Kluyveromyces lactis: one gene and its partners. The protein of the gene in region 5 binds, or shares a complex with, the protein of the main gene of each other region. Links are inferred from orthologs where the notes say so. Each region holds a gene or a part of one and is shown on either strand. Other genes may lie near its edges.

Region 1 (3,982 bases), on a different chromosome or scaffold from region 5:
TAATAGCAGAAGGTCACTTGAAACTTGATGCTTTCAAGCATGTTCCGTTAATGGCAGGACTCAACTCAGATGGAATAATCTTCTTTGATATTTTGCTTTTCCAGTTGTTCCTTTCCGAAGGTAAGGCAGCCGAAATAAAGATCAAACGAGATGGAAAGAAAACATTTGAGTATAACTCTGATGGTTTGTCTTCTTTGATCGAGAAAGGTATTAACATTCAGAATAAGAATGTTATTTTAAAAGCGCTAAGATGGTTTATATCTAAGCATTTTGATTATATCAAGTATATTTCAGGTATGAAAGGCTCAAAAGAACATGATAGAGAAAGTAGAAGACTGTCTTGGGCAGTTGCATCTTTCAAAAAACTGATAGAAGAGGAGCTCAAAGGTGCTGAAGATTGACTATTTTAAGTACTTTTTTTTGCCATTTTAATAGTTACACATGCATATATGAACTAAGTTCAAATAGTTCTATTAATTAACAGTTAAATGTACTTAATTTTACATCGGTGATTGAGCATCCTTGATCGCTTGTACTAATTTTCTACCATCAGCCTTTTGTTTCACTTTTACGACGTATGTGTCTAACCCTCCTTCCGCTTTAATTGCAGGACACTTAACCAAATTCTCATTATTTGGATCTAATGCTTCATAGGAAAATGACTTTATAATACTAGTATTTAGCAAAATATGACCCATACCGTCTGACCTACAAAGTATTCTTGCTTTTGTATTGTCTTCCTTGTTTTGCAAAACCTTCAATTCACCTACACCACGGGAATCATAGGCTTTCGTCTCAGTATTGAAAATCATTAGCTTGGCGCGTTGCGAAAAGAGTAGATTCTCATTCTCCTCACCGTTCGATAGATTCAAAGTTTTAGATGGCTCTTCTTGTGCCTCAGCAGATGCGTCTTCGCTGTTTTTTTCACTAACTTCCTTGGCAGTATCCTTATCAGATGTTGGAGCAGATGAGGCAAAGGGTAAAGAGATCTTGAAGCCAGATGATTCACCTTGTGGAGGCGCCTCTTCAGATTTGTTGGCACCAAAACTGAATGCTGGTACAGTTGATGCTGCTGTTGCCCCAAACGTAAACGTAGGTTTTTTCTCATCTTTTTTGTCGGTCTCCTGTTTTCCAAAAGTGAAAGGAGTGGAGCCTGTTGAAGCTTTACCAAATGTAAATGAAGGTTTAGATGACTCAGCCGGTTTTTCAGAGGTTGTTGAGGTACCGAATGTGAAAGAAGGCTTTTTAGCTTCATCATTACTGTTTTCCTTGCCCATAGCTCCAAATGTAAAGGAAGGCTTTGATGAATCTTTGTTTTCAGTTGCTGTCCTTTGCACTGGAGCAGAGAAGCTAAACGATGGTTTAGAGTCCGCCGATGGAGCAGGGGCAGAGAATGTACCGAAGGTGCTAGCTGGCTTTGCTTCTTCCTTTTTATTTTCACTTTCTTTGGCCAAATCTTTATTGTTGCTGAAAGAAAATGAGAACGGAGATGATGAATTACCATTATCAGCCTTATTTGACCCAAAGGCAGGAAGAGCTGGTTTGCTTCCCTCATTTTTCTCTATGGATGGTGCGGACGCAGAAGGAGGGAATGTTGGTTTAGATTGTGAAGAGTTCCCAAATATACTAGCTGGCTTGTTATCCGTTGGTTTTTCAGCTGGTTCAGATTCCTCTGTCCTTGAAGCATCATTCTTTGGTAAAGTAAAGGCACTGGACGATACAGTCCCATTAAACGTAAATTGGGGTCCCTTGATCTCTATCTCGCTGTCGCTATCGCTGTCAGGTTCCTTACGCTTATTCCCACCGAAGCTGAAAGGCGGATCAGACGTCGTTGGTTTCTTAGCCAAGACAAACTTTGGGCCTTCAACATTAACGGCTGGTTTTTCCTCTTCAGAATCACTATCGCTGTTAATCTCAATTTGTTCTTTTTTATCTTGCAGTCTCTCTTCCGTTACGGTCGTTGTCGGTTTAGTCACCTCCGAAGGTAGAGCAAATGATGGTGCTGCGCTAGGCTTTGCGAATGCAAATGGATTTTTAGGTTTCTCCACATTTGCTGATGTGGTACCAAATGTGAATGAGCTAGTTGGAGGAGCGTTTGCAGCGCCATTAGTTTTCGCTTCTGACCTTAACTGTTGCGAATAGGTCTTGTATTTATCGAACAGGAAAGAAATATCAGCAACTGGATCTGATTCCAATGTAGAATTTATTTTATTTTTGAATTGCACGTTCAATGCCGTGAGTTTTTCGTTTAAGTCAGTGCCTTGAGGTTTCTTGTCATCCTTTATCACTTTGAACATGTTAGGTTTATCACCCGCAGTAAATCCTCCCATTTTCCTCTTTGGCATTGCAATTTTTCTGGTACTCATTACAGATTCGCTGGCAACGGCAGGTTTATCAAATGGAGTCTCGTCATCTGAAACATTATTACTATGTCCGTTCTCAAGACCTTCTCTGGTCATCTGAGAACCCGCAAATCTCTTTGACATATCCTACAGTGAGTATTGTGCTTGGAAAGATCAGCTCAAGAGAAGTCACTTTCTTAATCAGAAACGAATTGAACTAACGGGAAGCAACCGGAAGTAGCAGAAAAGGAGTTTAAGGATTGCTGATGTGTAAGCATTCAGACATCAACATGAGAATTGATGATACTAACACCAGAAATAATAATAAAGCAGCTCGAAATTCTAAATCCTTCAATATACTGTTGACTCGTGTGGGATGACTTATGCTGAACACGTGACTACATGTTATTCTGCTTGTGATGGGTTGCTCAGGGGAGTAAAAATGTAAAAAGTATTTAGCGAAACTTTCGAATCGCTTTCTCCTCCGATACCGGGAGTCGAACCCGGGTCTCCACGGTGAGAGCGTGGTGTGATAGCCGTTACACTATATCGGAATATAAAACGTTGTTATGCTTTCAGGGATTATTTGCAATAGCCACCGTTATAACCGACACACGTGCAATGATTTCTTACCTCATTAGTTGACGCAGGTGGCAAGTACGATGGCCGTAACACCATGTAGGACTTGTTGGTGTAAAACTTGCTAATCTATCAGATGAAACATCTGTTTTATAGCGCTCTTATTTTTAATGTTGTATTACGGGACTGTTTTGTTGGATCCAGACACCACGTTATATATCCGAAAGTTGAACTTTGTATATTTTCTCATGCGTTATTTCCTTCCTAAAGAGGAAATTATCTCCTTTCCAAAATGAGTCCATTTGTCGCAATCCTCGTTATCCTGCTTCACTTTCTCTGCTTCTCCGGTAGGAAGAGGAATACTTTGCGTCCTGGACAAACTCACTTCGGATTGAATATTCATTTTTTGATTTACATTGAATTGCAACTTAGAGATATTAACAAGTTGTTTAAAGTAGCACCTTGATTATTATAGGGTTATTTACTTTTGAGTTCATTCAAGAAGAAACCAGCTAAGGGAATTTGAACGTATGTGCCGTGTACTAGCAGTGGTTACTTATTTGGAATAGCACTTTTGGGATTACGATGAAAGAGATAACAAAATAAAACCAGCACGAGGTCTGATATCGAGGATTATACAAGAATAAGATAGATATATGAATCAGGAAGAGGTTCTAATGTTAATTTATTGATAGTGATGACAAATGAAACAACACCAGTTATACTGAAACAACATTTACCAGAGATATTTTGTGGACGGATTGATAATTTTCTCTCCAACATTGTATTGATCATCGTACTATGGCATCAGGATTAAAAGTGTACTGAATAATGCAGCTTTTTGTTATTTGGTGATATAGCCCAATGGAACTGCCAGCAAATATTTCTTAGGAAACCAGATTCTATAATTTGGGTGAATTTGCTGGAAAGTAAGGATTCATTCAAATTGACAAGCTATCTATCAGAAAAATTCTCTCGTCATTAGTCGGACTTGCGACAAATTTACTAAGTGATGTGCTACTTCTCACTACACCCCTCTTCATAAAGAATCAATTTTTTAC
Region 2 (4,285 bases), on a different chromosome or scaffold from region 5:
TAAGTTTTCTTGGGGGCATTCATTAGGCGCATGTCACATGCTCTGTTGAGGAATGAGTGGAAAGCCACACTTTTTATTGCGGTACTTTCACTTAGGCTGATGAAAAGATCGGTGTTTGAAGTTCCTGCTGAGAGGTTATTGTGAAAGTGTCAAATGATAACGCACATTAACGGGCTGCCTTTTGATTCCTTTGCCCACAGAAGTGGTCCATTTTGTTTCAGAGATTTAACCACAATTTGTTAGTGTGTTATTGTTATCTTGTTGTAGTATATTTTATGGAGGTTATATATATATAAGGAATAACCTTTCAGTTGTTGACAAGGCCTATGTAATAGATTCGAGGTTGTCTGTATCTTGTATTGATAAGTTAAAAAGTGTAAGAAAGACGTCTCATAATAAGGAGTAACACAGGATACCGACCTCCGAATAGGCTTAACAAGCGCCTACTACAATATACCCATTAGCGTCCCCGTTTGACAATATTCAACAATGTTCACAGACAATTTTGGAAAAGCCAAAGATACGCAGCAGGTTTCCCAGGTGATAGTACAATGCTTCAAAAGTTTAAATTCAGTTCCCAGATCGACTCCAGACCTAGAGCAAGACTATTGTGATTCTGATGAAGAGGAAGATTTGATCGTGGATTTAACGACAGGGTCGTTAAAGCCCAGGAATTTGAAGAATTATCTACTTATGAATGAGGTAATGAATGGCCTAGAGAGCCTATGACGCTATGGTATTAAAGCCAATAAGGGGGTTTCACATCTACTTTATTGTGTCTACCGAAGATTTGCATACCAGAGAGATGCATCTTTTAATGCCTTTACTGCCTGGCTTTATCTCTCATTTTATTTTCATTTCTTTCGACTATATAGAACATATATACTTTTTGGGTAATTTAACAGACGGAATTCATTATATATAACATATTGGAATTAAGTGTTTCAAACAGGGAGCCAACTCAGAATTGCATTAGCAGCTGTTCCCTTGTGCTCAAGTAATTACTGCTACATCACAATCCCCCAAAACTACGTATCACTACGTACGCTATGTCACTTAATACGATTTTAGGTCATCCCTCACCTCTGAAAATTTCTTTATCCTTGAAGTAAACAACTAATTGATGATAAAGAACTAACGTTTTCTAAGTTGATGCAAGCAATGTTTCGGCTTATATGATTTGTCGTATTTGTCTTTCAGTCATACTATCAGCAACTGAGACCAATAAAAGTATTCATACAGTGCGTAAAGTGGGAAATTTTTTTATAGATCGTTAATTGATTAGTGTGTTTCTTCTTTCACAATCAGAGAACAAGGACACTCACTCATCTTTAAATTATTTCTCAGAAAAATACCATTGAACCAAAACGCTACGACTTTGGTATTATCTACTTAGAGATTACTTGTGTCATTGAAGGACATATTATTTTATTCCTAGTCAGCTTTTTCATCAATTGTCACCTCACTTGATTTCCTGACCCACTGATGTTTGGTGCTTCTCGACCGGCATTTGGACAGACGAGTACTTCTCCTTTTGGCCAACAAACTCAGTCAACAACCAATGCGTTCGGTCAACAGCATAGTGGAACCACAAACAATCTGTTTGGATCCAGCTCTGCCAACAACGCGCAATCAGGGTTTGGTGGGTTTGGTACCGGCGGCGCTAATACAAACCCTACGCAAACTATAAATTCCCCATTCGGTATGTCACAACAGCAAAATACAACTACTTCTCCGTTTGGCGGGGCAGCAGCAGGAGCAGCAGCAGGTAATTCATTGTCGAACCCACCATCCCTGTTTGGTGGTAGCCAATCTAGTGGTACAGCGACAGGCGTTCTCTCTTCTGGACCTCCTTCTGGCACTGGAATCAAGCCATTCCAACCTTATACGGAAAAGGATGTGTCAACTGGATATCCATCGGTGTTTCAATCTATTACTTGTATGCCTGAATATAGCCTTTATTCGTTTGAAGAGTTGAGGTTCCAAGATTATCAACAAAATAGGAAATTTAGCACCACTGCTGGAGGTCCGACAGCTTCTGCTATTGCTTCGCCATTCGGTCAACAACAGACAAATGGTACTAACAACACTTTTGGTTTAGGAAATAAAAATACCATCAGTGCAGGTGGCGCAACTCCCTTTGGTCAACAGCCTGCAAATTCACCTTTTGGCCAGCAACAGCCTGTAAATGCATTTTCACAACCTAATAACACTCCCTTTGGCCAACCACAGCAGCAACAGCAAACTGGCATGTTTGGACAACAGCAGAATAATTCTCCATTCGGGCAAAATACTGCTTCAAGTTCTTCTCCATTCGGTTTAAACAAACCGGCTACCTCTGGAGGTCTGTTTGGACAAAACACCACCAATAATAATTCCGCATTTGGTCAAGCCAACAACTCATTATTTGGTCAACAAAACCAACAGCAAAACCCAGGTAACGCATTTGGTCAAAATACTGGTTCAAACACCTTTGGGAGCACTTTCGGCCAAACAAACACCAACAATCAACCGGGTGGTTTGTTTGGACAAAATAACACCACAGCGGCCAATACTGGTGGACTTTTTGGTCAACAAAGTAACGCCAATAACGCATTTGGTCAGAATAATAACACCTCAGGTGGATTATTTGGATCAAAACCAGGTGGAACTACAGGTGGCGGTTTATTCGGTCAGCAAGCACAGAACGGACCCTCTCCTTTCGGTCAACAAAATGCTGCTAATTCTACTCCATTCGGTCAGGTAAACAATACTCAGGCGGGTGGATTGTTTGGACAAAACAACACCAATACTGGCGGAGGTTTATTTGGACAGCAACAACCATCTAACACAAACAGTACAGGATTATTCGGACAACAAAGTAACGCAGCTAGCACTGGCGGTCCTTTCGGACAACAAAATAGCAACTCCATGAATCAACAGGGCGGAGGATTATTTGGTGCGAAGCCAACTACCGGTGGCCTGTTTGGATCAAACAACCAAAGTCAACAAGGTTCAACTGGGTTATTCGGAGCTCAAAATAAAACTGTAATGGGTGGTAGTTCCGCGCTGTTTGGTCAAAATAATCAGCAACAACAATCTGGCGGATTGTTCGGACAAAGTAATCAACCGTCTGCAACGGGGGGGTTATTTGGTAATCAGAACCAACAAACACAGCAACCTAACACCGGTGGTTTATTTGGTCAGCAGAACAACAGTATGGCAAACAACACCGGAGGATTGTTTGGTGCAAAACCAACAGGAACTACTGGTGGATTATTTGGCCAAAGTAGTCAGCAGCAGAATACATCTAGCGGATTGTTTGGTCAAAATAACAACCAGAACAACACAGCAACGGGGGGTCTATTTGGTCAAAACAACCAGCAACAAGGTCAATCATCGGGTAGTCTCTTTGGTGCCAAACCTTCCGGCACTAACGCTTTAGGAGCTACCAACGGCGGGTTATTCGGAGGCAACACACAACAGCAGAATACGGCTACTGGTGGTCTATTTGGTGCCAAACCAGCTGATAGTGCGTCAACATCTGGTGGCCTTTTCGGCACTAAACCAACAGGTGGTTTGAGTAGTACCACTGGAGGTGGATTATTCGGTGGAAAACCTGCCGGAACTGCACCTTTTGGCGCAACAAACACGAACAATGCCTCATCAATTGGTGGCGGAAGTTTATTTTCTGCGAATAAGCCAGCAAATACTGGTTCGACAGGATTATTTGGATCACAAAACAACACTTCTGGTAATGCAAATACAGGTGGTTTATTCTCTTCATCTTCCTTGCAACAAAACCAACAAATGCAAAACCAGCAGCAAGCAGCACAAGCGAACTCCAATCCATATGGTACGGATGAGCTATTCTCCCGTGTTATCTCTATTCCTAATTCCATTACTCAACCAACTAAGCCTAGTGCCACAATGGTTTCTGCAGACTTGAAGAAAAAGAACTCCCTCTCCGCAGCATACAAGCTGCTTCCAAAACCCTTGTTTGACTCTAAAAAGTCGGAACCGAACTCCAGAAAGGTTAAAATTCATCTAAAACTATCAAAACCCAAGGAGGAAGACACTAGTTCGACTGCTCTAACAAGAAAGCCTATGGATTCTTCAATTTTCACTGCATCTACTGATGAGGCTATTTTAACTACCGGAGAACTCCTCTTTAATCCAGACAAAAAGTCTTTCAAAAACCTTATCATCAATCGCCAAAAGATGGAAGAAGATGATACCTCATCTGGTGAATTGAAATTCATAATCTTCAATACTGACGACGGACCACAAAAGAAAATGGAACAGA
Region 3 (3,155 bases), on a different chromosome or scaffold from region 5:
TCGCTATTCTCATCTTCAAAGTGGTAATACACCTTCCGCTCCCTCCACGCCACTTCTAATACCATCTCAACAACCTCATTTCGATCATTCCATGTTGGCCAATGCATCTAGAAATCATAATATAAGTGAGAGAAGAAACTCTCATAGTCCTATTAAACAACACTTTGCAAATAGGTTACTAAACTATCCGGATGAAACAAATGATAGCATACCCGATGTGTCTGATGACAGATTCAGAATGGATGATCGTTTCAGAAGAGGCAGACAAGGCTATTTCAATCGATCTCCCGACATCAATTCTGGTACGTTACATTACGATGATGGTGATGATGATGATAACCGTATATCAAAGTCTCCCTTTCGGAATTCATCGTCTTCACCATTTCGGTAGTTATTCACTCAAATACTCACATTCATTGAAGTTTGGTGCACTGGAATTTCTTGAGGTATCCGTAAATTATATAAACATAATACATCTCTAATTACTAAAGACAATGAGACTATAGGTCGTTCCACCCGAATAACCAATTGTTGACCCTTCCAATTAAATTTGTTGGTTGTTGGTTATTCCCATGCTGTTCCTGTTCTCGTAACTTGTTCTCCAAATTTCTTAAAAAGTTTGGACCACCATGAGGAGGGTTTGCATTATGCACAAACAACTGCTTTCCATCTTTGACATCCAATTTCCGAGTAGAAAAGGTGAACCCATGTTTATTATTATCAGCACTTTCTTGTGTCCCATTTTGTATATCAGATGATTCAGGTCCGTTTGGTTTCATCGATAAACTGAACGGGATTTCTCCGATGTCATCAGTTTTATCGATTTTGCACGAAGCCAATTGTTCTACGGCTGTTTTGCTATAAGGAACGCAGCCAATTAAACAACCTCCATAAACGGTACCATTCTCTTGTAGAGCTCTCAGAGCGGCACTAGGGGAGTCATACGTGATTTTAATCCATCCATCGCCCGTGAAGATAGGATATTTCTTATGAGGAATTTTAGAGTCCTTATTTTGAGCACGAATTCTAATAGTAGCACTGGATATGTTGTTACCTGTAACACCTCTTAGAACCTCAAGGTCCTCTAAAATATTTCCGAATTTTGAGAAATGTAATATTATTTGGTTTGAAATGGATTCTGGATATCCAAATACAATTACTGCGCTCTCTTGCGATTTTTGTCTTGATATATCATTTGTTTGATCCGCTGTCGGTTTTACAGGGGATTTCGACGCATCTCTGTCGAATGCGTTTCTTGTGCTCTTAGTGTATTCTTGAGTCAAAGGTATTTGGTTAGACGAAGGCATTGCGTTCACGTTAGTGGGGACAGACCCGAACTCATCCTCTCGTTGCCAATCATATAACGATTTTGTTGGGGGAGCTTCATTCGATTCCACATAAGTCGCGATATCAGTAGGTTGTGCAGGCTGCGTAGAGCTGAATGTTGGCTTCTTTGTGCCAAACTGGACGCTATTGAATCCGGATCTTTGGGAAGAGTTGTCATTCGAAGATCCATCTCCAGATGAGCTCGGTTTAGACGATCTTTTTATCACGGATTGTGGAATGTTTCTCTTTCTAGCTATATTATACCAGTTTTCTTCCTTTCCATTCGTGGCAGAGCTCTGTACTAGTGATTGTGAACTATTCTGCTGTTGTTGGTTTTGCTGCTGCTGCTGAGGATAATTTATTTGCAAGTTTGCAAACCTGTTCTCTTGTTGCGCTTGTTGGCCAAATACTGAACTCATGATTTAGGATTGTCAGTTCGCTTTCTCAACAATGTTTCAACAGTCAAAAATGATCAATTTATCCTACTTGAAATTGAAGAACACACCAAACCACAGTGTTACCGGTGCATATGAACATGCTACGATGATAACAGCTATTCTCATCTAATCTTATTCTTGATGTTTATTAGTTGAAATTGTTTTATTTCAATTAGAATACTCAAATCCGGGTAATGTTTGCCATTATGAACAGCTTCAGTGTATGTGTAAATTTATACATTCACGATCGATAAGATTTACCTCTATATACTGCTTTTTGATGTCTCCTTGTTTGCGGGAGATATGTGTGAAGATCTGTCCCTTGTTCGTGCAATCTCTTTTTTACCATGTCAAGTTCTTTACGCATAGTTACGTATCCTAGATGGAGTTTGCCCATGAAATGGTCAGCGAGTCTTCTATCCGTGTCTAATCTTGAAAGGTAGGCTCCACATACACGGCATACCTGTAGCTTCTGTTGTGCACTTTGGCCTGTGTTTTCGTTCATTTGCCTGCATTTTTCGCTGAGTGTGTCCCTTTCTGTTTGCAGTTTGTTATATTTACAGCTTTGAATCATCGCCTTCATAACTTCTTCGTTTTGTATAAGCATATCGATTTCTGAAAGCATTAAAGCACATTTGGATTCAAGCTGATTCACTGCTTGTAGAAGTGCTGCTAATTTCGAATGTTCCTCATGATGCTGTAACTTTTTATGTGCCATTTCAATTTGAACATCACAATCACTAAGAATCTTCTTCAAGATGGAGTAATGCTCAAGGTCAAACTCAGGATATTTCTTGCCCTTCTTTACATCTCTTTCATATTGCATTTTATGCGAGACTGAATGTATACGTGGACAATGCCCCATGGGCTGCTTGGTCTCTTGGAAAAGGTCATAGGGGCAATGACCAATGATAAATGATTTGCACGTTGATGGTGAAGTTAGCCCATGCGATGTGGCAGCCGAAGACATAAGCTGAGAAATCAGCTTGCGCTGTTCTAAAATTGCAGACATTTCTCACTTACAAATATCTCTGATGGAAGTAACACCAAACTGTTGCGTGCAGTTTGGACTCTGTGATTAACTTTTTCTGCTCTGTTGGTCAGTTCAACAATGATACTTCTTCAGTACGCCTTTTCAAGTAGCTTGTTGAAAATGCCAGGTTTAAATTCTGACGACAAAATATACTGAAAATAAATATATAATAACACAAGCAAAACATGACACAAATGGCAGTTTAGGTTTTCTAAACATGATCATTCCTATCTTAGGTGATCCTTTTGAAATAATTTGTAGTACAATTAGAACATGCAAGCTAGAAACAATGGAGCCTGTATTTTCTGCTTTAGTTATTGGAGGTAATGGTAATGACAGCGCAATTAGAATTTGTCGAG
Region 4 (4,146 bases), on a different chromosome or scaffold from region 5:
GCTGGGTATCATTTTAGAAAGAGGTTCGATGTTTTCAATATGCACAGTTGCCTTTTCCGGTCCAACTGGTTCAATTTGTTGGTTATTGCACTCTGGTACTTCATTCATTGGGTTTAATATATAGAATGGCTTAACTGATTCAGGCAAGTTGGTAAAATCATCAATTGAAAACGCCTGTGAAAAATACCAATTTGGGTCCAACTTTTGGTACACTGACGGAATATAGCTAGCAGTTCGAAGGTTACCTTTTTGAGACCAGCTCAAGTTTGGTAAGCATTCCAATTCAAACAAAAAATTAGTTCTACACTTCGTCAAATCTTCATCTGAATAGTGAGCGTCTTTGATGAAATAATCACGATTTTGAATGCTTAATCTTCTTTCAAGGTCCTTAAAATTATCTTGTAATTCTTCTAACTTTAAAGAAGTCAAAACTTCTTGCTTTTTCGTATCTAACACAGTGTCCGTCTCTATATTGGTGGACAGCCTTTTGCGTTGTGGAGATTGTTTTTCGAGATGTAAGTTCAAAACCCCTGTAAGGCTGCTGCTAGCTGATTGAGGGCTTTCGTTTAAGTAAGGTATTTCAATCGGAATATTCTCCTTATTCAAATCTTCCAATAGGATATTTTTTTTTAAGCACATCCTTTTCGCCGGCTGGGTATTAACATCTTGGTTATCCAATGGGATCTTTCTTCTAAGCTTTCCGACCATTTTTGCCTTCTGTTTGAGCGAACGCTTTTCTATAGGAAAATTGCCGGGTAGTACTTTTCAAAGCAGGAGATTTAATTGATAATTTACTTAATTTTGAACTTATAATCAGGACCCAAGGTTTCTGGTATCATCTTTTATATTCCATTACCTATAGTACCAATTTATTGACATTTTGTCACAAAAGTGTCAAAATAAATGAACATGATAAAGTACCCATAGTTGCTAATACTAATATATATCGTCACGTATCACATGAAAACATACACTGGATGTTTCTTATGGGTGAAATCAAGAAACTGAATGCTTTGCAACTAGAATAAAGTTGATCTGTCGAACTGTAATGGTATTGTTGGCCTTTATGAGTTCACTATCATGTTCCAGTTTAGATCACCAGTTCCGGGTAATCATTTTCAAATTTTTTTCTTTGGTTCTCTGAATAAACAAATAAAGATGATGTTCTAAATCTACCTTGCAGAACCAGGTCTAACAGTTATGTTTCTCTAAGGGCACTTTGTCCAATTGGTTAACTGATTGCTCAGCATAAAATTTTGCTTTACTGTATCTGTGTACTTGTCTTTTTTGAATTTCGGAAATAGGGTATAGACTTGAGCTAACAGTGTATCGGCAAGACAGGACAGATGTCAATATATTCTACGCCGTTGAAAAGCAATTGGAATGGCAATGCAAACTTTGCCAACCCGTCTGCCAATGTCAACGGGCTACCGATGAATGGAATTGGCAATACCTCTTTGGTGCCTCAACAACAAGGATCAGACGGTACTATAGGAACGTACGGTGCTAATATGACAAACGTAATTTCAGGTTTAAACGGCAACACAGTAAACCCACTGAACTTTAATGCTTCACATGAGCATATTAAGGTAACGGGTCTTGGTGCTGCAAATCCTCTGAATCTTGCCTCTCAATACATTGATCATTTGTTGCGTCGTGACATTAGTACCCCGGTACTGGATGAAAGATCGTACTACAATAATGGGGTTAACTACAATTTTTCCAAGGAAGTTGGTGGATTAGGCCCATTTACTCCGTTTGAAAGACTTAATGTGATTAACATACCAGATGAAATTTTGCAGCAAGTATCTACTGCTGAAATCAAAACAAATATGGGTTTATTTCCCGATATTGAACGTTGTTGGATCACTGTTGATAGCAAGTTGATCCTCTGGCATTATAATAACCCTTCAGATTTCCAATCAATAGATGACATCAAGCATACCATATTACAAGTTGCCCTAGTGAAACCGAAACCTGATACATTCGTGGAATCAATCAACCACTTGTTATTGATAACAACTCCTTTTGACATATACATACTCGCAATTTCTTATGACAGAATCAGCGGCTCGTTCAATATCTTCAACACAGGGATGAGCGTTTCTGTTCATGGATTGGATGTACATGAAATCGTTTATTATGAGAAAACAGGACAAATCTTCTTTTCTGGTAACAGCAATGGGACCAACATTTGGGAACTTCAATATTCATCTTCAGAAGATTGGTTTAACAATAAATGCAGCAAACTTTGTTTGACACAGTCTGCTCTTTTGAGTTTACTCCCCACAAATATTTTCTCCAAGATTCCAGGCTCGGCACTTGTACAATCTTTATTTGAAGAAGATTCAAAGTATGCACAAGAATACATTACACATTTGACTGTAGACCAATCGCGTGGTATTTTGTACTCATTATCATCAAAATCAGTCATCCGAGCTTATAAGATTAATGGTAAATCCTTAGATGGACCAACTACAATCGAACCCTCTTATATTAAACGTATCATGGGAACGACTCCGGCTAGAGGAGCTGCTATCTTGGGTAACAAATATTTGAAAATAGTTAAAGTAGAGGTGGTTTCGAAAGAAGAGAATAACAATTTATTTTTGGTAGCTATCACAATTGGCGGTGTTAGGTTATATTTCAATGGTTCTGTTAATTCTGGTAGCGTAGAAGCTTTAAGATTAGAATCCATCAAGTTCCCACCAAGTTCTGTCAGTCCAGAAACCATAGAAATTGAGTTACAACAGCAGCAGCAGCAACAAACTAGAAAACTTACACCCTTCTATTCTTCCCTCAACAGTATGGAATCTGTACAGTTGAAATACCAGAAAAAATCGTCAGTGTTACTTGAAAGCTCGAAAGCTTCGTCAATTATTTCACCTGGCATTTTCTTTTCTGCTGTTACAAAACATCCAGCGGAACAAACATTGGGAACTATGGGAACACCTGTAGCAACTGTTCAAAACACTCCAATACAACATAAGCTCTTTGTCAGTGTACCAGATTATGGTATTTTGAAGAATCACGGTCGCTACGTCGAAAATTCTGTATTTTTGGATACCACCGCCCCAGTAAGAGAAGTTATCCCCATATCCTCTTTGTTCAACGGTGCCAATAAGCCAGAGGGCTATGCCAATGCTTTTGCAACTCAGTACAGTGTAGAACCATTGAAGGTTGCCGTTTTAACAAATACATCTGTGGAAATCTATAAATACCGTAACCCAGACCAGATCTTGGAGTCCTTAATTAACAACCCGCTGCCCTTCATTGTAAATTATGGGTTAGTCGAAACCTGCTCATCTGCTTTATTTGTCACTTGTAAATTCAATAAGTCAGAGTCTTTGAGATCCAATGCGTTAACTCTTTTCACTGTAGGTATACCTAATGTTGTGGAAATCAAACCAACATACAACAAATACGCGAACAGTGCGGTATCAACACTACTAGGTAAACCATCACTGAATTTGATGACCCCACAAAAAAGCTCTACTGAATTAAGCAAAACTGCCAATACTCTTTCGACACCAAATGTATCTGGTGCAAATAATTTCAACCTTGATGATGTCATCTTGTCCGCTAGATTCTACGGTACCGCTCTGTTGATTGCCAGATTATTTAGAGACATATGGGATAAAGATATTTTCCAACTCGATCCCCATGTAAAAATTAATCCGGATAATTCAGTGATGAAGAGTTCAATTAAAGGTGATAATATTATTACAAAAATCGTTGTATCAAGAGGTGATATCGAATATTATCTATCCTCAGTAATGATTTTAAACGAGTTCTTCCAATCATATGGTAATTCAATTACAACAATCACTAATATTTCTCCAATTAATGGAGAAAAGGTGGTGGATAAAGGAGAAGATGTTGCGCATCAGGCAGAAAATGTTGCTATGAACGCAGTTATCAAACTCCTTCAATCCATAAAGGAGTCACTTTCATTTTTGAACGTACTATTCGAAGAGAGTGAAGTAGATGGTTACGAAGGGCAATACTTAGCATTTGTTGACATTATGAAGTACTTGAATTTCGATATTCAATACGACTTAAGCAAGTTGAAATTCAAGGATATTTTCAATCCCAATGAACAAACCAAAAATTTAATAAGAGAGATTCTCTCCTCAATCATCAACA
Region 5 (3,959 bases):
TGATTTGTTAGTAAAAGTTTGAAACTCGATCAGAACAAAGTTCTTAAGGCAATCTTATTGGGACGATTCCTAGAATTAGTGAACGTTCAAGTTAATTTTGCTAGATTAGTAAAGCTTAATAAAAAACCAAAAAAAATTCCCTCTGTAGGTATGAATTGTTGTGCATTTGATAGTTAGGAGGTGATAGGTCCCATTAAACTGCTTCCTTGTATCCTTATTCATTCTGCAAAGCGTACTTGCTTTCGTTTGAAGAAATCGTGACATATATCTCACTCAACAGTTTAGACCGCGTACTCACACTCTCCGAAATGAAACGCTCAAGTTCTCACAGGATAGCGACTATCATGATATATGTTACACCAAACACAGTAAATCCTTGTCATTTTCATTAGTTGTTATCCGAGTTCGTCTTGTTGTTTTTTAGCTAATGTGCTTTCGTCCCATTTCAAAGTAGCATAAACCGTCTTGAATCACCAAGAAACCCCAAAATAAGATGCCTTTTGCTTATCATATTGTGCATACATTTGCATTTTTGAATCTTGTCCTTTCCTGATCTTTTTGATAGTAATCAACAACTAAGTACAGCTATCTTAAGTGCGTATGATTAAATGATATAATCCAAAATACTTTGAGTATGAATTCTTGCTTGCTTTCCTCAATCTGGGTTTGGTACATAGAAAGTTGGTGAACCTGAGGAATCGACAACGAGCAAAAACGAAGTGATTTCTGCAATTAGAAAATAAAAATACCGTTTTGAGGAATATATGCATTTTTAATTGTCAAGCCCCGAAATTTATACACCCAGACACACTGTTGAATAGTGCACGGATGTTGTTGCAAACCGTCCCAACTTGGAACGTAGAATTTTACTGGTACCGGTTACCCTGATTGTTAGTTTAGATACGACTTCTGTATTTCGTTCTGCAGTCAGTTCGTGGTATCTGGTCGTTATTTTGAATTTCACCGAATTGGACCTAATATTGAAATTGAACAAAAATTACCTGTCAAGAACAAAGCCTATGTGCATTGTATATGCTCATGTATACCTGCAGAAATTTTTAGTATACTTCTAATTGAATATCATAGCGATTAGCTTGAACACTAGGTAAAAGTAGCGTCTTATAGATTGCTATTCCATTGTTGTGTTGTGGAGTTGAGAATGTCCGTAGAACCCATTGCCTCTAGGGTCGCAGACTTTCTACAAGTCGACCAGCAACTGATACAAGACATTAATAATGATGTTTTAGGTAGGATTGAGGAGAAGTTGGAAGATCTTCGGAAACAAAAATCTGAAAACCTAAGAATAACTGCTACCTTGGATCAATTAAAATCTCAATCAGAGAACAAACTAGAATCATTCAAAATTCACATCTCTCAACTAGCCAAGGCATTGGAAGATGGGAAGGATGAGCGCTTACACTTTGAAGAAGAGAAAAGGCGTCTAATTGAAGGAAATTCACAAGTGACCAAAAGAATCATAGAATTGGAACAAGAAATAGAAGTAGAGAGGCAACAAAAAGAACTTGCTGACGCTTCTAAGCAAGATATTGCAGAGTCACTAAACGAAAAAATTGAAGAACTCAGTTCTACCAAAGCTAAATTGAATGAAGCACAGGGAGCGAATAAGGAACTTAGACAAAAAGTCGTCAATACTGAAACTGAGCTACAAACTCAGCAGGCCTTAGAGCTACGTTCGAAAAGCGAGATTTTAAGGATGGAACAAGAAATCACATTATTGAGAGAAAACAATGACTGGTTGACCAATCAGTTAAATACCAAGACCGTACAACTCAATGAGTTTAGAGAAAGCACAATTAGTGAATTACAAGATTCTCAGTTAAAGGTATCGAATATGGAATCAGAGTTGGAAATAGCTCGAACCAGTAATCAGAAACTAAAACAATCGGTACACAGTTTACATGAACAACTGGAGCAAAAACTTTCCGAGAACAAAGAAATTAAAGATGAGTACAATTTCTCTAAACAAGAGCTTACGAAAGAGATGTCTTTAAAGCAGAGAATGATTGATGCTCTAGAGAAACATATGGAATCATTGAAGAAAGAAATGGATGCTACAAAGAATAACATGGACTCATCATATTTCACCGAAAAAGAAAGAGACGAGCTCATTGAAGAGCTCAATGCGGTCAAATATCGTTTAGACGCATCTGAATCTAACTGCATAAAACTTAAGGAGACAATCGATGAATTAACATCCAACATAAAATTAGAAGACTCCGAAGTTGGTAATACCACTGCGTCTTCAGAAAAATCGGTTTCTGTCATACCTAAGTTATATGGTGATTTGGGAATGCTCAAAAAACAGCTGGTTATTGAGAAAAGACAAAAAGACGAGTTAAAAATGCAAGTGGAAGCATTCGTTGTTGAATTAGAGCATAAAATCCCTGTTCTCAATTCCTTCAAAGAGAGAAGTGAAATGCTTGAAAGAGAGTTAAATGAGGTTACTATTTTGTTAGAGTCAACTGGCAAAGACCGTGATCAAAAGTCGTCACAACTTGATTATTTGAAAGCTACTGTGAAAAGCTATGAGACTCAAATAGCCTCCCTATCTAAGCAACGTGTTGACCTTGCCCATCAGATACAGTACTTACTCGTGAACGAATCTATTAAGTCAGAGGATGGCGGACCATTATCCGCTGAAGAATTGCAATTTGTCAAAAATCTAACCAACTCTCAAGAAATAACAAAGACCTCTGACACTCAAGGCATTATAACCGATCGACTAGTAGAATTTAGATCAGTAGTTGAGTTGCAGCAGAAAAACTCCGAACTTCTTTCTACAATTCGCAATCTTGCTGATGAATTAGAACGCAGGGAAGCTGAAAACAAATCTCAAATCCAGGTATTAGAGGATGAAACGGTGAGAGAGGCAAAAGAAACCATTCTTACACTTCATGATCATGCACAGAACCTTGAAAACCAACTAGTCATTCTATCAAAGGAGAGGGACGCATACAAGGCATTGTCAGTAAATGCTAGCTCTGGCACAAACACACCTAAGGCCATTACTTACCCTTCTCCTGATAATGACGATAAAGTGAAGGATCTCGAAACAAGACTCACCGCTGTCATTCAAGAAGCAGAGAATAATGCCAAGGAATGGTCATCAGAAAACAGCAACCTGCGTAAGAAATTATATGAAATATCACTTAATTTCGAATCTGAGAAAACTTCACGTACTCTTGCAGAAGATAGGTTAAATCTATTACAATCAACTTTAGAGCTTTCCAAACGCCAATGTGAGGAGCTACAAAAAAGATCATCTGATCTACAAGATATTTTAACAAAACAGGACAAACGTACACAGGAGACTGTAGATTCCTTAATCAAAACGAAATCCACTTTGTCATCTATACAATCGGAACTATCCATCTTGAAGTCTGAAAAACAGTTTATGGCAAAGGTTCAAAAGGAACTGAAGGCAGAGAACGAAAGATTTTCCAAAGAAAGTGTCGAATACAAGGTGTTAATTGCGCAACTTCAGACACTCCAACGTGAGAGAGAAATGTTACTCAAGGAAACTCAGAATTCTTATAAGGAAAAGCTTAGAAAATTGGAAATTGAGTTGTCTGGTTCACTCGAACGCCTTGAAGAAATTGAAAAAAACACCACAGGAATTGCTAGCAATAAAGAGCATCAATATAATTGGTTTCAAGAAAAGATTGATAAGTTAACTAGTGAGGCAGCTCAACAGAAAACGACCTTAGAAGAAAAAGAAGCTCAACTTCAGAAAATGCAATCCACTATCAATGAACAATCCGCAAAACTCAAGGAGGCCGAGGCACGGGCACAATCATATACGATGTTAAGTAATGTCGATGATGCTCAAAACCTAGTTGAGACTTTGAGACAGGAATTGGAAAAGGTTAACTTGCAACTTTCTGATTCATATTCACAAATAGAGCATCATAAAACTCTGGCGGAACAGTCCGTGCAAT
Region 6 (4,167 bases), on a different chromosome or scaffold from region 5:
CAGAGGCATTGCAAGACAATCGCAAATATGTTTGAAATGAATGTGATGAACAACAATTTGTATTTAAATTGTGCACCACCTGACACACTAGTAGAATAGTTCCCAGGGTCCATGTATGCAACACTGACCATGATCCCAGGTCCGACAAACTTCATAAACTTCCTCAAAATTTCAACATGGTTCCTCTCGAATACACGAGATAGTATAAGCATGGCAGTTTCACAGTTTAGATAATCTTTAAGTACCAACAGTAACGTGCCAAGAATAAATTACCGTCTTTCGTTCCTTTATCTAAATTCCAATAAACAGAGAATGAAAACAGCAGAACTATCACCAATTTACAACACAGAATATCTGACCTCTATTGAGCTAGCGCCTCAAACTCTTACAGATTCTAACGTATCGTGTTTTAGCAAACTCTCTTCTCGTAAATGACTTATTTGTAAGAGTGCAAATCAAATAAATCAAAACCTTAAATTTCTAAACTTCTTTTATAGAAGGAGATTCAAATGCACCTCTGTAATGTTATATACGACGAACGTGAGAGCTGTATATGGTGTTGAAAACAAATAAGTTCCAGTGCTCCAGTTGTGATTCAAAAAAGGAGACGATCCTGGACAATGGAAGTATCTCGATTCCAACCAAAACATTCTTTTTCTCTCTGGTAAATATATATATTATATATGTTAGGACCCTTAGCTATCATTACTATTACTGAATCTGGCATTCAAATTTGCCGAGGTTTTTATCAGATGAGGTCATGATAAAACTTACCTAATTCAGGATTCATTAGCCAGATGGGGTAAAGACATTTGCTTACTAGCATTTATGTCCTCCTTGCTTCTGACTAGGGTTTTATGAGAGGATGACGGGAATTTGACGGGAATTTGACGTAAGCAATGGAGCTATGCAACGGAATCGACATTATAATATCGATGCAAACGATCTCACTGGTAATTCTGGATAGGCGAAGAATTCAAGAGGCTATAATTCGAATATTAAGACCACAACGTAGTGGCAGATCATATAGAGTTGCTGCGTCCTTGACCATTGTACCTTGATCAGAAGCGAAACCTGAATCGTACATAATGATATATCCGATTCAGATCTTGTCAACAAACAGAAGTTCAAACTTTAAGCTTATGTTTGGTCTTCTCATGTATGCAGATGCAGGCTAGGATCAACAAGCAATCGCGATCCAGGCACCCGTTACATACCAATCGTCAATTAAAAAGCGAGCGACTAAGTGATAAGTTGTATGCGTGATCCCATTTTTTTCTATTAAACTTCTGCGTATTGGCACTTTAGAATCATATTCTGTTGAAAAGGGAAGCTGAGATAAGTTCAGACGCATATACAGTTAGATAATGGATTCCAGTTTCGGAACAAATGGGTTCTATACACATACTCCATCGATGTGGAGTGATAGTAGGCGTAGGAACGTTGGAAATAGAGATAAAGACTCGTTCAGAGGAGGAATAAGCGATCGAAGAAATGAAGAGATCAACAAACCAAAAGAAGATCCATTTTGTATATCCGGTTTTTCCAATTACACAGGAAAATCGAAGTCAAGCACTAGTAGAGCAAAGAATGGCCCAGCGAGTGAATCGATTAAGGAGCTACCTTTGATTTCTACTGAAGTTCTCGATGCAGCCAGTCAGAGAAGATTAGCCTTCGTCGTTTTTTTTATCATTCAATGCTACAAACTATACGATCTAATCCTACTTAAGAGTGGGATACCATTATCTGGGATTTTTCTATCGAATTCAAGGTTAAACTTCATTTCAAAATATTTGGTAATAGACTCTTTGTTCTTTTACTGTCTCCCCACGTTCAAAATACCCAAATTAAAGTTCAAACCACTGATAGTGCTTTTGCAGATTATTTCATCCGCAACCCTCACACTGTTTATCTCCAGTGAACAAAGTATCCCATTGGTATCGCTTCTATTGTCATTATGGAGACAGTATCACAGCAGAGACTTGTCCTTAACAGGTGACTCTGTCAACCCAAGAAAGGCTATGAATTCGGCAGAACACTTCAAAGGTGCACATACCATTAAAATTTTGCCAGAAAATACAGCATATTTGAATCCCTTCCACTCGTCTTTTTGTCTACCACTGGACCAATCTGGTCCTGCCATTGAACTACCTATAAGAGTCAACTCATCATCCACAATCAATACAGTCCAGTTAGAGTTCAGAGATCTATACTCAAATGAAGGTGAACTGTGGAACTTCACCAAGAACGATTTAAAACCACTCAAGGCAGATATTTCAAAGGAAGAAACTGATCGTAACATACATTACTTTACTGTACCTCTTAACAAAATCGGGTTTTACCAGTTGAAAACCGTTCTAGACACTAATAATATCAATTTGAGAATATACAAATCCCAATTAGTGCTACCTCACTGCCCATTGGCTTCCATTAACGGAAAGGGAGAAAATGATAGATGTGTTGGAGATAATGATGAGGTTTCAATTCAGGTACAAGGTGCTCCACCTCTTAAATTGACTTATACTAAGACAATCAATGGCCAAAGATACGTACTAGAAGATTCATCACTTCAACCAGAATATTTTGAATCACCTTTGCTAACGAATTCAAAATTCTACAGTCAAAAAGATGTCCAAGATTTAAAATGGGCTCGTTCGTACCCTGTAGATATCGCATTAGAAACTTCAACCAAAGAATACGGTGAACATGTTTACTCTATCGAAAGAATTGTGGATGGATTTGGTAATAGCATTGATTTTTCCTCATTATCATCACAAGTAAGAGAAAAGTATGATTTGATCCACAGATTCTACGTGCACGACTTACCAAGAGTATCTTTGGATGAAAAAATGAATCCCGACAGTTCTGTTAGAAGGTCTTTAATAGTCAAATTGGACTCTGGCGATTTTAACAAGGATGCTCCATTCATCGTTCAGTTATCCCATGAAGATAACAACTCCAAAGTGAGATACTTCGAAAAACAATTCAATGATAAAACATTAGAATTCAAAGTTGATGAGCCAGGTTCTTATAATTTGCTCTCAGTAAAATCGAGGTATTGCCACGGTGCCGTGATTGGAAAATCTAATGTTCTGATAACTAAACCAATTCCTCCTCAATTATCTGTAAGATCAACCCCAATATTAGATCAATGTGTTGGACAGGTCGGCTTGAATTTTGATCTTACTTTTACCGGTGTTCCTCCCTTTTACTACAAAACAAAAATATACAAAACTGAGCAAGGAGAACGTAAACTATATGATACAAAAAAATTCAGCTCCCAAGGAACCAGAAACCAGTTTACTTATTCACCCACATCAGAAGGCAGTTATGAAATTGTTTTCACCGAATTGTCAAATGAACTTTTCACATCTCCTATCTCCTTAGATTCGAAAGAGTACACATTCAAAACCAGCATGAGAGTGAAACCTAGTGCAAAGATTTCAGGGAAGCTAGAGACAAAATTATGTCTTGGAGGGAAAACGAAGGTACCTATTAAATTCAGTGGTGAGCCTCCTTTCACGTTAAACTATGATTTAGTAGAGACTTCTTCTAATAAGAGAACTTCGTTTAATAAAGAGAATATTCAAAGTTTTTCCTATGAGATCGAAACACCTAATTTCAACATTGGTGGTGATCATATCCTATCTTTAGTTTCTGTGAAGGATTCCAGTGGATGTTTGGTAGGTCTAAGTGGTACTGATGCCAGAATTACCGTTAGAAGAGATATTCCTTCTGCTTCTTTTGCTGTGTCAGAATCTTCCTCCCAAGTCAGCATTAAAGAAGCTTCATTCGCAGAACTTCCATTAAAACTTTCAGGTGAAGGACCTTTCAGAATCACCTATAGCCATTTGGATAACAAGGGAGACGTTCTCGAAACTGAAGAGGTGACTTTCAGTTCCAACTATAAACCGGCCTTAAAGGTTATGAAGGAAGGTTTGTATAAATTGGCTTCAATTCGTGACCAGAGTTGTGTTGGCAAGATCGTAGATCCGAACCATACTTTCCAAGTAAGTTATCTCAAAAAACCTACGTACTCATTAATTGAGCACAACAGAATCTCAAAACTGGACGATTTCAACTACATTAAAAATGATGTCTGCCAAGGGTTTGAAGAAACCATCGATATGTCTCTAAACGGCATACCACCCTTTTTGATAGAATATG
Region 7 (3,931 bases), on a different chromosome or scaffold from region 5:
TGGAAAACGTTCTTTTCAAGATATCGTTCCCAGCAGAATTCCATGCTCAAACGGCAGTGGAAGCAGCTATTAAGGTGAATAAACAGTTGGCAGAGTTGGGCAAAACTTACAAAGACATTAAAAAGGTCAGAATTAGAACTCAAGAAGCCGCTGTGAGAATTATTGACAAGGAGGGTCCATTGTACAATTATGCTGACAGAGATCATTGTATTCAATACATGACTGCTATTCCATTAATTTACGGTAGACTAACGGCTGACGATTACAGTGATGAAGTAGCAAGCAACCCTGAAATTGACGAATTGAGAGCTAAGATGTATTGTACTAAAGATGACCAATTCACTTTGGATTATCATGATCCATCAAAGAGATCAATCCCAAACGCTTTGTTAGTAGAATTGAATGATGGGACTGTCTTAGATGAAGTGGTCGTAGAATATCCAATCGGTCACAGACTAAGAAGAAAGGAAGGTGTCCCACTATTGATGCAGAAATTCTACCACCATTTGCGTGAACATTTCGCCGGCGATATTGAAAAGGTGGAAGCTTTAATGGAAGCAAGTACAGATGACGGTTTCTTAAACTTAACTGTTGATGAATATGTCAACATGTACTGCGATTAAGCTTTGTCCTTCGCACAGCATCATCAACGTATAACGACCACAATCAATTTTTCATTTCATTCAACTCTTTTTTTGAACTAAACGAAGTAAAACCTACATTTCAATGGTAACCAAAACAACATTTTCTATTCTACAAAAACTGACCACAGGAATCAAAAGATTCTGGCAATCATCAATTCCAGATTACAATATATAATTAACTTATTTTCTCTTGAGTTAATACATACATACTTATGTTTTAATATTAATTACTGTCATGATCAATTTCTGGCTGTCCATTTTTTTGTCCCGTCACATGTTCGGGTAACGGTGCAAAACATTGTAGTTAAAAAAAATTAGACAGAAAACAATAAAAGAAAATGTAAACTATCAATACGTTGAATAGATGATGGAAATAATTCATTGAAGATACTTTGAAAATCAATACACATTGTTGCTATCCATCGCATCAAATTATCTTTAACCCGTTCAGATTTTGGAATTGTAAAATCCACACAATCGTGGAACTATGAATATCAACAGTCAAATCAGCAGTGATACAATGCTATCTGCATTTCAAAACGATGCAAAGACTAGTGGCTCCACGTCTAAGAGCTCATCGAAATTATTCAATGAGCTTTTAGAAACGTCAAAGAACTTACCTTCTACTTCATCTGACCTTGGAGCTATCTTATTGAGTGTCAATGAGATGAAAAAGAGGGCACAGGAGATGCGTAAGACAATTCCTCACGATTCCAATCATACAAAAGCTCATTATCTCTTAGCAGGAAGTGGACTTGAATTTCACGAAATTGAGAGTTCCTTGAAGAATCTTAAGTCATCAGAGTTGTTAACCGAACAACGGGTTGCACAAGGCTATAACGATGGTGATTTGGACACTTATTTACATATTAAGAAGGATGAGAATATCCTTTCCTCCATTGAACAATCATTGTCTTTAGCAGCGAAGGATTTTGATAATTTCATTAATCAGAACTTCAACCTAGATTGGAAGCAAAGGAAAGATGAAGTAAGAGAAAGCTTTGGGATCCTAGTCAAGAAACGTCAGGATAGTTCTAACTACGATACGACTAATTTGGCTCCTTTGGATCCCAACGGTCCAATATTTTGGGGGAAACCACCTGGTAGTGGTATCTTGGATGGTGATTTAAATTCAAATGTCAATGGAAATCACATCCTTAGAGAAAAGTTTGAGAAATATGCCAAAATTATTTACAGGTTTAACAATTCAAGACAATCACATAATGACGATTTTCAATTAACCAAAGAGTTCATTGCCATCTTTCAGAATACGACCGACTCGAAGTATAGACAGCTACTTGACGGTTGGGAGATTATAGATAATGCAACAAATCAATCCCCAAATATTGTTGAGTTTTCCAAAAAATACCTAGAAAACCAGTTCTTGAGCTATGTTGACAATTTGTATTCAAAGAATCCAAGCGAAGGTTTACCGACCAATGTTAACAAAATTAGAGCATTTATTGACCTCAAACTGAAGACTGGTGAAAATACTTGGAAATTTAACAATCTTACGATTGTGAATGGAATTCCCGTATGGGCCTTGATTTTTTATTTGCTAAGGGCTGGTTTACCGCAGGACGCGCTAGAAGTAGTTGTTAACAACAAATTGAGTTTCAAAAAAGTGGAGCAATCTTTCCTAACATACTTCAAAGCTTATGTAACGTCTCCTGATCATCGTCTTCCACAGGAATTTGTCTCAAGGTTGCATACAGAATATAACCAGCATATCAAAAACACTTTGGACAGCGATCCGTTCCGTTTGGCGGTCTACAAAATTATTGGCAGATGTGATTTGACAAGGAAGAATATCTCTTCTATTACTCTAAGCGTGGAAGATTGGTTATGGATTCACTTGATGTTAATCAAAGATGATATGGATATGGATGATCCAGTATATGAAAGGTATACCCTCAGCGATTTCCAACATACTGTTGTCTCTTACGGTGAGTACATGTTTAAAAACTATTATCTACAGGCCCTTTTGTTAAGCGGACAATATGAACTAGCAGTACAGTACTCATACAAAATAAATGAAATCGATGCTGTTCACTTGGCAATTGGTCTAGCGGCAAATGGCATGTTACATGTGTCATCTTATAAAAAGGATGAGTTGATCTCCGTGAATGATGGCCAAACAAGGATAAACTTTGTTAAGGTATTAGGAAATTACACAAAGTCGTTCAAGTACTCTGATCCAAGAATAGCTGTCGAATATCTAATTCTCATCGCACTAGTGAATGAGAAAGAGCAGATTGAATGGGCGTATGAGGCACTCAGGGAATTGATCTTGGAAACTAAAGAGTTCACCATACTTCTCGGAAAGATCAACTCTGAAGGAATTAGGATCCCCGGTGTAGTTGAAGAAAGACGCCCATTATTACAGCTTGAGGACCAGAAGGACTTTTTGTATAAGATTACCGAACAGGCTGCTCGTAGGGCTGATGAAGAAAGAAGAATTCATGATAGTTTGTTGTTGTACCAGTTATCAGAAGAATATGACATTGTTATGTCCATTATCAACAAGTTATTGGGAGAACTTCTAAGTAGCACTGACCTCAATCAATCCCTCTTTAGGTTGAATGACAACAGCGAAACGAATTACGTCTTAATGGCAAAGAAGTTAATCGAAGTGTACATCAACAACATCGAAATCTCTAAAAAGGTTCAGGCAAGAAACAAAGAAACATGTATTGTCTTGTTGAAACTAGCTGATATAAGAGCATCATTCCTAGCACGCCAATGGCAAAACACCCTACAACAGATTGAAGATCTCGATTTAATTCCGTTCACGGATGAAAGCTCGACCAGAAAAAGAGCACAAGAATTTACACATTTGGATGAGAATATATTAAAGAACATACCTAACCTGTTGATAATTACAATGCTATGCATTTCTAACATCATAAAGCAGTTGAACGAAAGTGATTACCAATCTTTGACTAAAAAGCAGCAAATCGATTCTCTCAAACGTGTTGCTAAAAATTGTATGATTTATGCTGGTATGATTCAATACAAAATGCCAAGAGAAACTTACAGCATATTAATCAATATAGAAGTTGGTTTGTAGCAGAGCTCTCATTTATGAGCACCTGAGTTATGTCAGAACCCAGACGTCCTACCATAATAGCATACAATAAAATAACCATGTGTAAGTCGATTGTTATTCGATATAATTGCCTGATAGATTATATATGCATATGTATATATATACATTTGAACTGCCAATTACCTTTTCAGCAGTGCATTGTTGTAGTGAGTAGAAGATGCAACGAAATGTACAAGAA

What was found.
Region 1: MLP2 (region 5) and NUP2 share a complex: the UniProt entries of both Saccharomyces cerevisiae proteins name them as parts of the nuclear pore complex. The link is inferred for Kluyveromyces lactis from reciprocal best matches to the Saccharomyces cerevisiae genes MLP1 and NUP2.
Region 2: MLP2 (region 5) and NUP116 share a complex: the UniProt entries of both Saccharomyces cerevisiae proteins name them as parts of the nuclear pore complex. The link is inferred for Kluyveromyces lactis from reciprocal best matches to the Saccharomyces cerevisiae genes MLP1 and NUP116.
Region 3: MLP2 (region 5) and ASM4 share a complex: the UniProt entries of both Saccharomyces cerevisiae proteins name them as parts of the nuclear pore complex. The link is inferred for Kluyveromyces lactis from reciprocal best matches to the Saccharomyces cerevisiae genes MLP1 and ASM4.
Region 4: MLP2 (region 5) and NUP170 share a complex: the UniProt entries of both Saccharomyces cerevisiae proteins name them as parts of the nuclear pore complex. The link is inferred for Kluyveromyces lactis from reciprocal best matches to the Saccharomyces cerevisiae genes MLP1 and NUP170.
Region 6: MLP2 (region 5) and POM152 share a complex: the UniProt entries of both Saccharomyces cerevisiae proteins name them as parts of the nuclear pore complex. The link is inferred for Kluyveromyces lactis from reciprocal best matches to the Saccharomyces cerevisiae genes MLP1 and POM152.
Region 7: MLP2 (region 5) and NIC96 share a complex: the UniProt entries of both Saccharomyces cerevisiae proteins name them as parts of the nuclear pore complex. The link is inferred for Kluyveromyces lactis from reciprocal best matches to the Saccharomyces cerevisiae genes MLP1 and NIC96.

What each region holds. Positions count from the first base shown.
Region 1 is NC_006038.1:545,774-549,755, forward strand, and holds NUP2 (nucleoporin NUP2), read right to left. Parts: upstream 2,487-3,982; coding exon 501-2,486; downstream 1-500. Other genes in the region: SGD1 (Sgd1p), read left to right, coding at 1-401. UniProt on the Saccharomyces cerevisiae protein: Functions as a component of the nuclear pore complex (NPC).
Region 2 is NC_006042.1:2,465,762-2,470,046, forward strand, and holds the start of NUP116 (FG-nucleoporin NUP116), read left to right. Parts: upstream 1-1,485; coding exon 1,486-4,285. Other genes in the region: KLLA0_F26686g (uncharacterized protein), read left to right, coding at 490-729. UniProt on the Saccharomyces cerevisiae protein: Functions as a component of the nuclear pore complex (NPC).
Region 3 is NC_006042.1:687,782-690,936, forward strand, and holds ASM4 (FG-nucleoporin ASM4), read right to left. Parts: upstream 1,746-3,155; coding exon 501-1,745; downstream 1-500. Other genes in the region: NUR1 (Nur1p), read left to right, coding at 1-391; LUC7 (Luc7p), read right to left, coding at 2,005-2,775; KLLA0_F07271g (uncharacterized protein), read left to right, coding at 3,014-3,155. UniProt on the Saccharomyces cerevisiae protein: Functions as a component of the nuclear pore complex (NPC).
Region 4 is NC_006041.1:1,832,305-1,836,450, reverse strand, and holds the start of NUP170 (Nup170p), read left to right. Parts: upstream 1-1,346; coding exon 1,347-4,146. Other genes in the region: KLLA0_E20637g (uncharacterized protein), read right to left, coding at 1-708. UniProt on the Saccharomyces cerevisiae protein: Functions as a component of the nuclear pore complex (NPC).
Region 5 is NC_006037.1:55,751-59,709, reverse strand, and holds the start of MLP2 (Mlp2p), read left to right. Parts: upstream 1-1,159; coding exon 1,160-3,959. Other genes in the region: RPL40A (ubiquitin-60S ribosomal protein L40 fusion protein), read right to left, coding at 523-530. UniProt on the Saccharomyces cerevisiae protein: Together with the closely related MLP2, involved in the structural and functional organization of perinuclear chromatin. Together with MLP2, associates with the nuclear pore complex and form filamentous structures along the nuclear periphery.
Region 6 is NC_006042.1:1,588,323-1,592,489, reverse strand, and holds the start of POM152 (Pom152p), read left to right. Parts: upstream 1-1,367; coding exon 1,368-4,167. Other genes in the region: putative divalent metal ion transporter SMF3, read right to left, coding at 1-212. UniProt on the Saccharomyces cerevisiae protein: Functions as a component of the nuclear pore complex (NPC).
Region 7 is NC_006041.1:1,253,996-1,257,926, reverse strand, and holds NIC96 (linker nucleoporin NIC96), read left to right. Parts: upstream 1-1,131; coding exon 1,132-3,714; downstream 3,715-3,931. Other genes in the region: PDH1 (putative 2-methylcitrate dehydratase), read left to right, coding at 1-623. UniProt on the Saccharomyces cerevisiae protein: Functions as a component of the nuclear pore complex (NPC).